2 linked regions of the Tribolium castaneum genome follow. The protein of the gene in region 2 purifies or fractionates together with the protein of the main gene of each other region. This does not show direct contact. Links are inferred from orthologs where the notes say so. Each region holds a gene or a part of one and is shown on either strand. Other genes may lie near its edges.

Region 1 (7,954 bases), on a different chromosome or scaffold from region 2:
TGGCCTATATTATCTACTTCTCAATGCTATATTCATTTTTTTGGCTAAATGTTTTGTCCTTTCACATTTGGAGAGTTATCGTGTAAGTGTAAAAAGCAAGACAAAAACACTTTTTATTTATTTTTTGCAACAGAAAGCCCCGTTTTCTCCAAATATTGTCCCCTTATTGGCACTACATTTACTGTGGTTTTGGCTGTGGAGGACCCACTTTTTTGACCATCATCCTCTCAATTGCTCAGTCAATGAACGAGTCAGATTCCCATCCAGGGTTTGGAGAAACAAAATGCTGGTTTAAATGTAAATTTAAAAACACTAACGTTACAATAATAATTAAAATAACGTAATTGTAGCCACAAAAACCCAATTTCTTTACTTTTACACACCCATGGCCGTGCTATTGTGCCTGAACCTCCTCTACTACGGCTCAACAATCGCAACTTTGTGGCGGAGCTTGAAGACAGTGGATGAAAAGAAAGACAAAGTGTTAAAGTACAGATTGCTTCTTTGTGTGAAATTGTTCTTCATAATGGGCATCTCTTGGATCTTTGAGTTATTGTCAGCCGCTTTCCAAGAGAGCAATCCCCTTCAAGTCATATGGTAAATGACCAATTGAAAAACTAGGAGTTCATTGAGGTAATTTGTAGGCACGTGACAGACGTTCTCAACACCTTACAAGGAATCCTGATATTCCTCATTCTGGTGGTATTCAGAAAACGAGTCGTTCGTGGATTAGCAGATCGGAGTTTTTGTGGAATACGATTGCCAGGGCGGTGGCGAGGTGCCGCCGATGACGAATGTGGAGAAATCGAAGAAGAATTGAACTTATCAGAAACACACGTCCAGAAAAACTAATCGCGTGTGTTACTCCATCAGTGGAAGAGTTTAGTGAAGGTCTTTGGGCCAAGGAACAAGACAAAATGTACATAAGACAACGAAAATTAAACATAAACTATTTTTAGCTAATTTTATTTTTACGCAAAACTGGGAACCGATTTACAAATTTTCGTAATCACAGTAGACTTCTATTCGCAATGAAGATGCAACTTTGAAGACTGGATGAGATCGAGTGAAATATTTCTCATACCGAATTATCCTTTAATAAATTTTTTGTTCCCCCAGCTATTTTTTTTGCTGAATTTTTTGTTCCCACAAAGTTTTTTTACTCCATTTTTTATTATCGTAAGTCATTCTTCTTTGCTTCATTTTTTCTCCACATAAGCTTTGTTTTTGTTCAATTTTTTGTTACTGCAATTTTTTTTGTTCTGGCACATATTTTTATTGCATTTTTTGTTCCCACAAAACCGATTTACTTTTAAATGCTTTATTGCTTAATAAAGAATGACCTTACTATACCATTTTTTAATGCAATGATACATCATAACAATAAACTCTTTATCTTATAATGCAATTAATTAAAAAGTAATCAAATTACTTAATTGATAACAAGTTATTTGTCCCTCCATTCTTTGTTACCATTTTTTCTTGTTCTTTTATCGCCGTAATCAATTTTCTGCTGCATTTTTTGTTCGTGGAAATATTGTAGCATTTTTGTTTCCACAAGCTATTTTTGCTGCACTTTTTATTCCCGCAGATATTTTTATCCCCAGAAGATATTTTTTTGCTCCTTTTTTTGTTATCGCAAGCTTTTTTTGCTTAATTTTTTGTTCCCACAAGTTATTTTTGCTGTATTTATTTTACATTGGACTATTTAACTTTGAGTTAAAATACTTTGGACGATGTTTCTTTAGAAAGTGTTGACCATATGTTTGCCACGCCACTGTCCATTACTCATCCTTGAACACGATCTGTTGTCTCATTTAACAGACACAAAGACAGTGGGGGAAATTCGAATTGCGTGATTATGACGGAAATGTAGTATGATTTACCTCTACGTGCCTAGTCACCGACTAATACCAGAATTTCCGTTAAAAAAATTACCCAGACAAGGTGGTAAGTGATGCACGTACGCCCCTGACCCTACCTTTATTAACTAAAATATTTAAACTCTCTTACAAAAAACAGAAGCAAATTAACTTAAAAATACCCAAAATCGAATCAATGAAACCTTCAACAAATACCAACAAACGAGTGAGAGTTAAAACGCTTCGTAGTAAATGTTTGTGTGACATAACCTCAAACTACACATTTGAAAAATAACATGAATTTTATTTACATCCTCTTCGTTATCTCACAAGTCAAATCCGAACTCGCAAACACTTTAGAACCACTGATTGGTGTAAATAAATGTTGCGAAGAAAACGAATTCTATGAAGGGAAACACTGTACCAGGATAAATAAAACGGAACAACCATGGAAGCCCATGTTTTACAGCGAGGACGGCAAAACGAACATTCAAGTCAAATACAGGTAGGAAATACCAAATTGGTGTGACTCTTCAGTGATTTTTTCCAGACTGGTAACGGGTTTGCCAGACTGTGGGCCAAAGGCCCCCTGGCCCATCTACCACTACGAAAATTCAACCGACCGCCTTAGACTACTTTCAAACGGGGTTCTGAGGCATTATTTCGACCGTAATATTCCACATGAGGACGAATGGGACGGTGGTAGCAAAAATTCGCTATACCATGACTACGAACCTGGCAAATACTGTTTAGACAAGGTACAAATTATTAGATTAAACTTGTGCCCAATTTAATGTTTCAGAGAGTCGACGATAAACTTGTGAGTCAATTTGCTCGCGTTTGTGCCCCTGATCATCACACACATTGGACTGAAACGAAATTTTTAATGCGAAATATTGTATCGCCCATAACGCACTTTATTGGAATTGTGTGCCTTCTGATAATAGCCATCATCTACTTCATAATGCCAACTTTACGTGATCTTGTCGGTAACATTGTTACCACAATCAGCATGTGCCTTATTGTCAGCCAAGCCGCTGATTTAATCCGACTCTTGACGGTTTTTGATAGCCATATAAGCCTCATTATTAGCGATACCATTTGTTATTTCAGTCTACTGGGGGCGTTTTTCTGGCTAAATAGTTTGGGTTATTACATTTGGAAAACCTTCAAGTAATATTGATACGAACGGACGTTTCATAAATATGCAAATGTTGACGTCATTGCAGGTCAAGGAACGTTTTTCTGAGAATTACAGATGGGAAAAAATACTGTTATTATTCGATGTATTCATGGTCTTGCACGCTCTTGTTGGGCGTTTTGGCCGTTTTTGCCCATTTTACCATGGACTATCCCGAGGACAAACCGCAGCTTGAGCAAAAGGAAGAAATCGGTAAACATACAATAAAAAAATAAACTTTTTTTTCTACTGGATAATACTTCATGATCGTATAATTTTTAAAGATGCAAGATTATTTTAATTTTTAATTTGTTTGTGTGCGATTTTTTTCACTCTGTTTATAGCACTAAAATTTTGAAAACGTTTATTTCAGGATCCCTGGGGATAATCCTATTTTTCGTCCCCGTTGCCGCCACAATAATAATGGACATATTTTTCTTCGCCACAACATTAAAAATCATAAGCCGAATGCACACATACGGTCGCATCCACCATAAATTAACCCACAGGTAGACAGCAAAAACAATCTGCCAACTAAACTAAACCACTTTTTGCAGCTTTCGCATGTTTTTCTTATTATTGCTAATAATGACAATAACATGGCTGTTTTTCCTGATGTCATTTTTCAAATTCACTGGCCTAGTTAACTGTTACATAATATTGAATGCATTCCAAGGGCCTTTAATTTTATACGTTTGTATTTTCAACCAGAAACACGTCGGATATCTGGTACGCAAAACGTGTTGTTACGAAAATTGCTTTTGCAAGTGTTGTCGCACTGAACCTGAACCAGAATGGGGCGACGAAATGACAGCTATGAATACGGGAATCTATTAGGCAGCTGAACGACATTCCGTCCGTTTTATCCAATTTTGACATTATTTATGTATTTAATTTACATTATTGTGTACTTAATATTTATAATAAAAATGATTAAACGACTCACCTGGCTAAATAAGTGTCCCTCTGGCCGTTTAATGAGAGCTGAGAGTTGGCAACGCACCACCAAGTGACTGTCATCCAAGACAGTATTGAAGAATCTTCTAGTAGGAAGAAGAGCCTCCAAGTCAGTCACTAGTTCAAGAAATCGCTCACAGTAGTGGATTTTGTCAAGTGGACAAATCCCATCTTCTGTGATCGTATCCAGAATATTCAAAAATTTTAAAATGAGTTTGTGCAAAAAAGTCCGCTCCCAATTCAGTCTTTCTAACTCTTCTGGCTTATCTTTTTTCTGAATGGCTTTCCAATACTTTCGCCACTTTGGGTTTTTCTTAAACTCGTATTCACGACGCCCGGGTTGTAAAGACACCCACATTGAGAGCGAAACTAACCGCTTGACTTGATCCCTACAAAGCCCCTCTTCCATGCTATTGAAGCAATGATTGAGAAACACAAGCAGTGAAGTCTGCTCTCTTAAATTGATTAATAATTCGTCTTCTAACAATCCTTTAAGTACTTGTTGGAAAAAATCAGGAAAATGGGTGGGATTTTTCCGAAACGCTTGCCACACTTGCACCCGCTCCCTAAATTTCTCATTCACCATGTTCACAACGGACAACATGTGGGCATACGAAGCCCCCGGTTTGTAGTTGGGCCACAGATAATTCTCCAAGTATTGGCTGAACTCCAACACCATTATTCTACGAATCGAAAAACTGGAAAAAAATTGTCATAACCACACTTTAGCGGTGGATTGGTTTTTTACTTGCTACCGCGGATGTCTTGCAAGTATATGTCGTCCACGATTTGGGAGTCGAAGGGTTGCTGGTTTTGGGCGGAATGCGGGGCCCAGTATTTTTCGGCAAACTTTGGAAAATTGAAAGTAAACAAGGTTTCAGGTTAGGATGGGGTAACTCACTTCAGTGATTCGGTCGGCGTTAATTTGCTCCACGGTGGGAGCCACCACTTTCGTGGTGTTGTCGGCCATTCGGCTGGGGGCACACACCACGCAAAAATGGTTAATTAGTTAAAAACTTTAATTAAACAACGTTTGAAGAACGCTACCTCTACAAATTTCTGGGGATTTTTTACTTAATGTTTGTTGTGTTGGTGCAAGCGTGGCGCGGTTTGAATAAAAATTGAGAATCCAAAAAAAACGGGGAAGAAAATTTGACTGAGACAAAACTCGAATTCTTTGTTGCTGATCAAGAAATACTTGTTCGAAGTAAAGACCATATTAAGATTCGAGCTTTACAAAAATAAAATGCATTGTTTAGAAAGACCAGTTAATACAAATATTAGTTATAATCTAGCAAAACATTGTCAAAATAAAGTCATTTTTGACTTTCACGGGACGTTTTTCGTTCTCTTCAAGAAAAAAAACTTCTAAAATTTGCAAGTTTTTAACTATAAACCTGATGAATTAAATCGCAGAGAAATTCAATAATAAAATTAAGAAAATCAAAGTAAAACTTAAAGTATTTTTTTTAATAAATTTAAAAAACTCGAGAAATTTAGAGAAAATCATAAAAAAATAATTTAGTCATTTCTGGGCGTTTATTATTACTTCTTACCTCATTTTAAAACAAGCAATTATTTGCAAAAGAATTCTAGAAAATAATTACATTAGAAAAAAATAAAAAATTAAACTAAGCTCAATTTTAGTGGCCTTATTGCAACAGATTGTTTAAGAGTGTTTTTGCATTATTTTTATTGAAATAACATAAATCAAAAAACTTCGTATAATTATTCTGTATTTTAACATTTTTAACTAATTATTATGTATTTATTTCTAGGGATTACAAAAATTAGTATTTTACAGTAAATTCTGAATTCTGTGCGCAGTTTCTAAAATCAAGTATATATCTTGCTTAAATGTTAGGAAAAAATTGAGATAAAATATTATATTTTTATTAAATATGATGGTCATTCGAAGTTTAATTCTGTGTCTTCAGGGTTTTGTTAATTGTTAATTAATGGTAGTATTATGGCGTTGCCATAAATGTAAAAAAATAAAACACGTTCTTTGATATACTACTTTGTTTTATTTGGTTTTGATTTTGATAGTCAAATTCAAAAGCAAAAAAAGTCAATAAATTACAACTCGAATAATTTTGGTTTCCGAAATCGAAAATCCATCTCCTTGTCCCATCTCCTTCCACTCTTGCACCTCATCCTCTGATTGATGATTCAGTGTTCGAATTACCCAATCTTCAAGTGCATCAAGTGTTCCATTATCCGCGGCGCGCGTCTGCCTCTGAAACATTTCCTTCAGTCCGTTCGCGTCCGCTGCAGGAAGAAGCTCGCTTGCGTTTCCTCCTCGTCCGCGATGTGATTTCCGGAATGTCGGAATCAAACCCCAAACTCGACTCCGGCACCCGTTTGCCGCTCCACCACCGCAACCCCAGCTACACAATCCGCGTGATCTGCTGCGTCCTCTTCATCTTCATCACCGAGATCTGCCTGGCGCACTACATCTACCGACTGATCAACTCGGAAGTCCGCAGCGACTACGTCTCCAAAGAGGACTTCCGCCAGTTCTTCCTCAACGAGCTGCGCGCCGACCAGGCCAAGGACGAAATCGTGCGGATTCTCATCCTGCAGGAGCACCAGAAGGGCACCAGGAGGCGACGCGATGCCGACGATTACCAAATGCTCAACTCGCCGAGCGACGAGCCACACGTGGAGTTCTTCAGTCCGGAGATGAGGAGCACGCTGGAGAAGAAGGACGAGTTGATAAGGCAGCAGACGGGGAACAAGGGGGCGGCTCCTGGGGGCGATTCCTGGATCTGGCTCACGAGCTACAGCCGGATTCCGGTGAGTATTTAAAAAAGTGTTTTGTCTTCAAGTGCGCTCAAAGCTCAAAGAACGCTCGTTTCAAATATTTATAACACAATTCTGAACGCGCTCTCGGCCTCACTTTTCACCTTTTCACACACGTTGGACAAATTGAATTGTTACGTGAACAAGTTCGGAGTGTTGGATTTCGTCCCGATTTACTTTGTCCAATCAGACACAGTTTAATTACAGTTAATTATGTAACAAGAGTTGTCTGTAATTACATTCTTACGGAGATTTCCTTTACCAACGTCAAATGCAATTTTTCTGTTTCAATTTACTGGCTAATTCTGTCCACCAATAAACCAGCTACAATAAACTTCGAATCCTTTTCTTGAATTAAGAAACAAAATTTAACAATTAAGGCGTATAGCAAAAATATTTTATTCCTTATTTTTTAATGTATTCATTCAACTCTTCTTCTTCTTTGCTCCTCTGTTTTTTATTATTTACTTTCTTTTACATTGAATTTTTCAGTACTTTGTACAAATTTTGCTGTCAATTACAAGCTTGTTTCAGCATTTTTTTCTTTTCTTCTGTTATCATTCGTTTCACTTTTATACGTTCTTATTCTTCATAAGTTCTTCGTTTGGTGGCCAAAGATTATTGGCACTTTTTCTTTACTTCCTTTTCATTAATAAATAATGTTTTTTCTTTACGTTTTCTTTTCGGTATCATATCTTAAAATTCCTCCTCCTTTAATTTCTTCAGGTAACCAATGTAATAGTACACCTACTACATGGAGCAAAACAAGTTTTGAGCAGTTTCCAGTTGATGTATCTACTTTGTTTTTATTACATTGGCAAAGTTTAACAGAATTATTTTACAAAAAGGAAAGGGTTAAGAGCTGTAAACTCTGTTGTCTGTTCGACGAAACTTTAAACTTTTTTCCCTTATTTAAATAAATTGTGTTTGTCCTCACAACACACGTCTGTTTAGAATTAATGTTCTACTTTTGCTGTGCAAAAAATGTGTGTTTGCTTAATCGGAATTAAACATGTAATTGTAACCGTGAAATTACAGATAAACGGATGTTTGTTTTAGAAAGAATCTAAACTGAAATTAAACTGCTCGCAAAATCATTGACGTATTTTATTGTTTGCGTAATAATGGTGGAGGCGCCGGGAGACAACTA
Region 2 (8,270 bases):
AGCTCGTCAATACGTTACCTATATTTGGATGGTAATTTACTGAAAACCGTTCCAGAAAATTTCATGGGCCGAATGCCAAATTTACAGGGAATTTACCTAAATCGAAACCACTTAAAAACAATTCCTGCTGGCATCTTCAATAACAAAACTTTGCTTCACATAGAGCTAGCCAATAACGAAATTTCCCACATTGCACCAGATGCATTCAACAACATGCCCAACCTGGCAAATTTAATTTTGTCGAGTAATAAATTGGCGCAATATAACAACAACTGGTTGCGTAATTGTCCGAACATCTATCGCCTATTTCTTTCCAATAATCTCATCGAGCAACTTCCAGTCCAAGCATTTAAAAATATTTACAACCAAAAAGAACAGTGGGTTAAGTTAAACAGCAACAAAATTAAGAAAATTACAGCTGAAAATTTCAAAGGATGGAAACTAGTCGATACCTTGGATCTGTCTCAGAATGAAATAGAACAATGGCATGAGGATTATCTTGCAGATGCTGAATTTATCCGGGCTCTCAACCTTGCATATAACAAGATTACGTGTCTGGACGGTGATTTAGATAAAATTTTTAAAGCCAAAAAAGCCACTTATTTAAGTGGCAATCCGTTGAGTGAAGAGTGTAAAAGCAAAATTCGGGAATGGTCCGCAAGAAATCAAGACAAAGTCAGTTTGTGAATTCCAACAATAAATAAATAAAATCTTAAGTATTATGTATGTAATAGCTCCCAATAATGATTTTGCATTTTACTCCCTAAAATATTTGGTTTCAACGTTTAACGGCTTAGTTGCAAAAAAAGGCATTCTGTTAGTTGTTTTATTAGAGAAAACTTTTCAGTCTTTTAGCACAGTCTTCATAACATTTAATAAATTTATTATACTGTTTTTAGATTATTTAGTGTTAAAAACATCATTAAATTATAAATATACTTGTTGGGTAATATATTTTTCATAATCTACGCAAAAAACTTTAACTTTATATAAACTATTTTGGATCTATCTTTTTTCGTTTTGGAATTATTTTACATTTCGTTATAAAAAAAAACAATTTTTAAAAAATCACTGCAAAGTCGCCGATTAATATTTTCCGGTAAATTTGTAACAAAAATTTAGAATACCTGTGAGTGTGCCGAAAGGCAAAAAATTGAAAAAGTCATTTTTTTTCAAATGGAACACTGTATTTTTTTTCATGAATCCATAGCATTTTTGATATGCTTTTTAACGATATGGAATCTTCATAGCAATTTTAAAATATTTTTCGAAATTTTTCAAAAAAATTATTTTATTACAATAAAATTTGTTATCCTGTTAAGTTAAATGATTATTTATTTTTTGCTATGTACTAATGTGACTAATTATTACTTATTAGTAATTAGTAACTATTAGTAATCTAATTATTACTTGATACATAAATCAATTTGGCTCATCAAAAATTAATAATAAAATAAATAAAAAAAAAAAAAATTTTTTGAACACTAAAAAATATAAATATAAAAATTACTCAATTTGAGTGGTCCTTAAATTCCCATAAGAAGTGTGCCTAGTCCTTTGCTATACAATCCGCATATCATTAGAAAGCTTATGAAAAATGTTATCGTTAGTGTAAATAAATATTTGGTGTTCCATTTGACAAAAATGAGTTATTCAACTTTTTGCGTTTTGGCACACTCTGTATATAATCTATGTGCTTTAACTAAAAGTCGTCTATTTGCTAAAACTACAAGGTATTCTGAGTTTTTCTATTACAAATTTTTCGAAAATTATTCATAGGCGACTTCGCACTACTTCGCAGTGATTTTTCAAAAATTGGTACCGAAAAGTTGAATAATTCCGAAACAAAAAAAGATAGACTCATTATAGTTTATATAAAGTTACATTTTTTTGCGTAGCATCCAATTGTGCAAAAATATGTAGGATGTTTCATTTAAAAAAATGTAACTTTGGTTCACCACCCTGTATACAACACCGTGTGTACAATAAAATTATTTTTAGTTTGTGGACTTTAAGTCGATCTATCGGACAGTGAAAACAACATGGCAATATTTCAAATAATAAAAAATTTATAGACCGATTACGCACCCCAGAGCCACCCTGTATGAATTTTTTAAGATTGTTTTGTTTATAATTATAAGTCTAAAACAAAAGACGATAGCGGGATGCGGATTTTATCAATTTTATTTTCTCAAAAAAACGGATTTGAGAATGTGTCACTCGTTGTTTTCTAAAAACCTCTTCCAAATTGCACTACCCTGTACAGTAAAAATATACTTGTTAGAATCCAGTTTTATCAAAATAAGCTGAAAAATCACTGTAGTAGCCAAAATTAAATTATTCTCTTCTTAAATCAACTAAGTTGAAAAGTCTTTTTTTTTTTAAATTCAATCCATTTTGGGGTGGATTTTACAATCGTGAAATAAACTCCGGATATGGTATTTTTGGTATAATTACTATGGTCACAATTGTTACAACAATGTATTTTTTAAAATTTCTCCCCAGGATAAAGTTAGCCGACGATTATCCACCCTTAGAATGTTTTTTAATTTTTTATTAATTAGAAGTGGGGAAGACCCAAAACTTTTTTTTCTACATTTGGACTACTGAAGTGATTCTCTACAATGCTATAAACTCGGAATTCGCCATTTTTGAGACGCCCTGTATGTATTTGAAGAGTCCGTATAGGTTTTTTTTACAATAAAACAGGCAGTAGATAAATAATGGTAGATGAGCAAGTGCCCGATATATATGCAAGTTTTAAACTGCTTACAATTGCATGTGACATCGACGATCTTCGATTCATAAAAATTGAGAAAAATACAATTAAATTTCTATTACTTTCAAAGACAAGTGACCATAAATCGTACAACTTTTACAAGGTAAAATTTCCGATATTTTAGTAATAAATACGAGTAAAATTGTATGATATTAATTTACAAACGTACCTTCATACAGCTGCACTCGCTTGTGCCACTCCTGCACATTATGCGGATTCTGCCTCAAGAGAACCGAATTCAACAGCAACAGCCTCCTCTCCATCAAATTCTCAAACCTCGCCAGCCTCAACTCCAACTCAATATCATCATCTTCAGTCTGATTGGGCTTTTGCGCCACCTCCTCCATCCGTTTACTCAACGTCAACTCCTCAAACTGTGCATAGGCGTCAAAGACTTGCGTAAAATCCCGCACAGTTGTAACCGTCTGAATCGCCTCCTCGTAAATATCCCGCGCCCGTTCAAACAACCCGCTCCTGACATAATACGTAGCCAGAGAGTTCCACAAATGCCCCAACTGATCAGTGTACCGCCTCAAGCCGCCCCTGATAATCGCATCAACATTCAACGAATGCACCTCTTCGGGATTTTTCGAAATCAACTCGCACAACTCGTTCCAGAGCTGGTGTTTGGACTTCCCGTGCTGTGACACGAAATTCTCATCATTGACAATCTTAGCCAACACAACGGCGGCTTCGTCCAAACGCCCAACTTCGGTCAAATACTCAACGTATTCCTCCGCATTCTCCGGACTGAGCTTCAAATACCGGCGAAAAATGCGCACAGCGGTCTCGGAAATGTCGTGCTTTTTGACGAATGTGAGGTAAAGGGGCCAAATCCGGTGGTGTTGGGTCACCGGGAGCGCCCTCAAAGCCCGGTCGAAAACCTTCCGAGTCCGCGTTATCTTGCACTGATCGGTCAGGAAACTGCAATAATCCATCCAAATTCGCGGCATTTTGTGCATGAAAACAAGGGAGCGCTCAAAAGCGTTGTTGACTTCCTCGAATGCGGGGTCTGTGATGCAGCGGTTTTTCACCTGGAGGCGGCGAGTGCGTAAGTAGTTGTACCAAAGTTTGTAAGAGCCGGGGAGCTCTTTAAGGGCCCGCTCGTAAATTATGTTAACGCCGTGCTTCGGGGCCTTCTTCTTGTGCTCAATGTAGCGCAGCCAGTGCTTCACAGAGTAGGGGTTGCGGAGGATCTCTTCTTCGTAAGGGAGGTCTTCGTCTGTCTGGAATTTTCGCAGTTATTTTGGACTAATTTTGAAACGGGATACGTACAAATATAATTTCCATGGGGGTTTCTTTACGAACAACATCGCTAGAGACAGGCATTGCGGCGCTTTGAACGAAAATATAACGTTGAGAAATGTTAGGTTAAGTAGATGAGGTTAGTTATTATTGTCGGTCAAAAGCGAATTCCAACAAATGCGAAATTAAAAATATACAAAATGTGAAATTGTGGTGTTTTTTAACAAGTGGTAGTATATATTGCTCTTATTTCTAAGTTTTAACCTAAAACACCTTAGTAAAATGCTGATGATATGATCAACAAAGATATAATACAGTAGAGTCTGGTTATAACGAACCCATTATAACGACCTCCAGCTATCACGTATATGCCAACAACCAAATAGTGGTTCAACTTTTTATTAGAAACTTTGTACAAAACAATTACTTAAAAACATTAACTCCATTGATTAAATAAACCGCCTCGTTATCGCACCCACAAAGAACCTTATTTCTGTTAACATCCAGACTATTGATTGGTTTGTGCAATTTAGGCATGAGCGTAAAAACATCCAACTTATTTTTGATAGCCTCGGATGCCAACCAAACATTCTCCCCATTCAGCAAACTAGAGGCACTGCCACATTTAGGCGACCAATGCCAAACATCCCCATCAGTGGAACAAGTGAATAGCTGGTCAGGATGATCTGGATGGAAGTGTATTTCCATAACGCCTCCCTCATGAGCATCCAACACATTCACAGGATATGTGTTTTGGCGCAAATCCCATATCGTTATCGAACCTGAAACGGAGTAAATAACATATTTCGAATTCTGATCAGAGTGGTCTATGACTAAAATTGAAGGCAGTGGCAACTTATAAAATGTGCTCAAAAAACTTCGTTCATCAAGTCACATATGAAATTTGAACGTAATGTGCCGCTTAATTTAAATTTAAAATAGTTAACTTGATGAACCACCATTTTTGAACACATTGTATTTTACCTAATTTATCTTTTAACGGAAATTGGAACTATAGAGACTTTTTTCAAAATTTTCTGCAGCAAAAAATAAGTGAAGCCTTAACGTCACAACCGCCTCTCATCACAGAAACCTTTTATTAATCACATATTTTTCACATATCTTCTACAAAATCAAAAAAATAACTACTTTCCAAACTCCTACCTGTTCTAAATTTTGTCTTGCACTTTGCGAAAATATCTCAGAAATTGTGTCTTCATTTCGATATTCTTTGGCAGTGATCAAAAACTATTTGATCTTAAAATTGGACCAAATAATGCTCGAGAGACGGTTATGACGTCATAATCCCAAATTTATATCGAAATAACTTGAAGTAGGATCGTTTCATAAATCATTTTAAAGTAACTTAAACTTTTAAAAGTGACTTCAATTTTTAAAATGCGTTTCAACCTAAAAATTTTCGTAAAATATTTCGTCAAATAATGATTAGGTAAAGACGTAAAGACGGCGGCAAATTACAAAAGCAACTTTAACAAACGTTAAATTTGTCAGTTTTTTGAATTGCACAAAATTAAGAAAGTGTTCATTTTTTCTTCTAATTCATTATCTTCTTCCGAACTGCGAAGACAAAAAATTTATAGAAAAAGAAAAATTATTTTGAAATTGTTAGTGATGTAAATTTCTTCGATCAGTTTCGTTTAACCAAGCCAACCATTTACGCTCGTTTGAAAAATGTTGAATAGATTACGTTCTAACAAGTAAAAGTCTCAAAATTGACGCCTGTGCTATGGCAGTTTGATTTAGGGTATTAATACAAATCGAAAGTTAAGAGTAAAAAATTTTCCAATTGTTCGTTTTAGAGTTATTGATAAAAATGTAAATAATAAGCTTTAGCTGTCTTTCCAATTATTTGTGCAACATAATTGATTAGTTGATGTTAGCGATATTAAAATTCTTTGAATAACTGTGTCTAGTAAAGAGTATTATTAATTTCCTTCGTTTTTGTATGTGTTAAATGATAAGATACCACTTTATTAGTGTATTCGAAATTTTGACGATATGTTAAAAGCTCGGTTATAAGTAAGATGTTTGTATGATGGCAATGCCACTGCTGAGACTAGGGCCTACACGGAAAAGTTTCCAAATCGCATTATAGCATACTTTGTGACAACAAATTTGGTAAATTCGCTTTTAATAAAATTTAATGTACAAATTTTAAATTTTAGATACTTATCAATAACTCGATAACGAAGGACAATTGGACAATTTTTCACTCTTAACTTTCGATTTGTTTTAGTCTTCTGAAGCAAATCCTAAAAGCATGGGCGTCAATTTTGAGTATATATAGGGTATATACTTATAGTTCTCACATTACTTGCTATGTCAACCGCAAACCAACAAAAACTTACCCCACAATTGCAGTTATTATTTTGATCATTGTTGTTTACAAGAAGGAATCCTAAAAGATAATGAGCCTCTTGCAGGTACTAAGAAGATGCCCAAAATAATTGATGCGGTTTTGTGGAAGTTTTCATTGGTTTATGGTATAGACATAGCCAGTTACGCAGAACTATACACAACATCAAAAATAAAAATATTTTCGTCAACACTATAACTATTTCATAAACTTCATCAACAGCAGCAAGCTGAAGACGAAAGGAACCATTATCGTTGATTTTTTTGCGTACTAATGATAATGTGGATTTAGCACAATTATCTGGCGGACTAAATACTAACAAAAAATAGTTATTAACATCAACTGCATTAAAGTTTGAAATATCAATGTCATTTCTTTACGTAAAGTAATCTTATATATGCGTTCCAAAATCAACTATCTCCGCGTTGTTTTTTGGAGTTATGTGTTTGCCTTAAAAGACTTAAAACTTTAGCCACATGTTATTTCAGCAAATACGTAGTTTGAGTTTTTTTATTCCATTTCACTATCTAGTCTTAAAAAAAGGATTTTTAAAAGACATTTTGTTCCATAACCGCCCATCTCCTCTCCAACTTGTTCCAAAACTTGCCACCTCCAACCTTAAAAAAAATGCAGGCTTTAAATTCAAACATTGTAATTAAAGTATAGGTCATCGAATTCTACTCTCTAAGAGGTTTTATATCAGTGTAATTTAAAATTTATTTGTTCAACAGCATTTGTATTAAACATTAAACAAAAATACTGAATAGAGACGGCAGGTTTTGGAACTAGACGACTCATTTTACAGCGTTCAATTTTATTAAAACTTCACGCTGTAAAATTATACCTACCGCACGTATAATGTAAATAACTATTTTGGTATCATTTAAAAGAAAGTTGCCAATACCTTTAAGTTGGCACCATTTTTGGCGTTTGCCAACATAAATAAAAAAAAAATAGGTACCTTCTTCATCGCCAGCTACCACCAAATGCCTCTGTGTAGGGTGGTTTTGGAGACACAATGGCGAGATTTGATCCCCACTCAACATGAAAGTGGTCGCGGGTTGGCTTTTAGGGGCCCGAATATCGAAAATCTTCAATTGTCCACGAAAATTACCGGTCAAAATTTCGCTATGCTTCAGAAAAGCCACACAACGAATTGAGCAACTATCGGCGTTTTCAATTGTGCGGATAACGTTTTGGTTTTGGGCATTTAACAAATTGATAGAACCGTCTTCGCCAACGCTCACAATATCGTTGTCGTAGGTGCAAAAGGCAGTGCAAGGGCAATTCTCCCCATTGGGAAATTTGTGAACTCCCTCCCAGTAAATTTTTCTCTCAATTAAGGGATCAATTCCATGTTCGGAAGTAATCTTCAGCAGACTGACGCAGCCCGACGACGAAGAAGCAACGAAAAAATCGCCGTTTAAGAACTAAAAAATGACAAAAATTGTTTCACTCGCTACGTGGCTCGTATCGCAATACTGATTGTAATATACATACTTTAACTTCAGTTATGTCCCCGTTGTGTGGAAATTCAGCCACCAGAAATGGATAAACTTCGGCATCTTCTTCATTTTCTTGGAAATCCCAAAGTTTGATGCTGTTTTGGTCATTGTCCCAACTGCCGGTTACAAAATAATGCGAGGCATTCATAAAATCGGGCCTCCAACGGATTTTATTAACTTTTTCAGAAACAAATGTTCCATGAATGTTGTGGGCCATATTTTGTGTATAATTAAGCCCATAAAAATTAAAAAAGTGGCGCTATAACCTCACTGTGTCGTTGAAAGCATAATTGAATAATTGTCAGGCAACCCACTATACGTGCGGTGGAGTATACTCCGTATCAAATCTATAAGACAAATTGCT

What was found.
Region 1: the proteins of fand (region 2) and RNA helicase aquarius fractionate together in Homo sapiens (co-fractionation; 3 studies listed by BioGRID and IntAct, with this or other methods). This does not show direct contact. The link is inferred for Tribolium castaneum from reciprocal best matches to the Homo sapiens genes XAB2 and AQR.

Annotation. Positions count from the first base shown.
Region 1 is NC_087396.1:23,734,130-23,742,083, reverse strand, and holds the start of RNA helicase aquarius, read right to left. Parts: upstream 5,099-7,954; 5' UTR 4,970-5,098; coding exon 4,901-4,969; intron 4,849-4,900; coding exon 4,748-4,848; intron 4,698-4,747; coding exon 3,989-4,697; intron 3,988-3,988; exon of another isoform or gene 3,880-3,987; coding exon of another isoform or gene 3,600-3,879; intron 3,552-3,599; coding exon of another isoform or gene 3,416-3,551; intron 3,256-3,415; coding exon of another isoform or gene 3,092-3,255; intron 3,036-3,091; coding exon of another isoform or gene 2,665-3,035; intron 2,621-2,664; coding exon of another isoform or gene 2,413-2,620; intron 2,368-2,412; coding exon of another isoform or gene 2,159-2,367; exon of another isoform or gene 2,023-2,158; intron 1,951-2,022; exon of another isoform or gene 1,683-1,950; intron 1,119-1,682; exon of another isoform or gene 853-1,118; coding exon of another isoform or gene 645-852; intron 598-644; coding exon of another isoform or gene 351-597; intron 298-350; coding exon of another isoform or gene 134-297; intron 83-133; coding exon of another isoform or gene 1-82. Other genes in the region: probable G-protein coupled receptor Mth-like 1, read left to right, coding at 1-82, 134-297, 351-597, 645-852; mthl5 (probable G-protein coupled receptor Mth-like 5), read left to right, coding at 2,159-2,367, 2,413-2,620, 2,665-3,035, 3,092-3,255, 3,416-3,551, 3,600-3,879; uncharacterized protein LOC659930, read left to right, coding at 6,325-6,798.
Region 2 is NC_087398.1:14,036,254-14,044,523, forward strand, and holds the start of fand (pre-mRNA-splicing factor syf1 homolog), read right to left. Parts: upstream 4,230-8,270; 5' UTR 4,109-4,229; coding exon 4,055-4,108; intron 4,006-4,054; coding exon 2,949-4,005; intron 1-2,948. Other genes in the region: nucleoporin Nup43, read right to left, coding at 4,448-4,806, 7,363-7,831, 7,902-8,123. UniProt on the Homo sapiens protein: Involved in pre-mRNA splicing as component of the spliceosome. Involved in transcription-coupled repair (TCR), transcription and pre-mRNA splicing.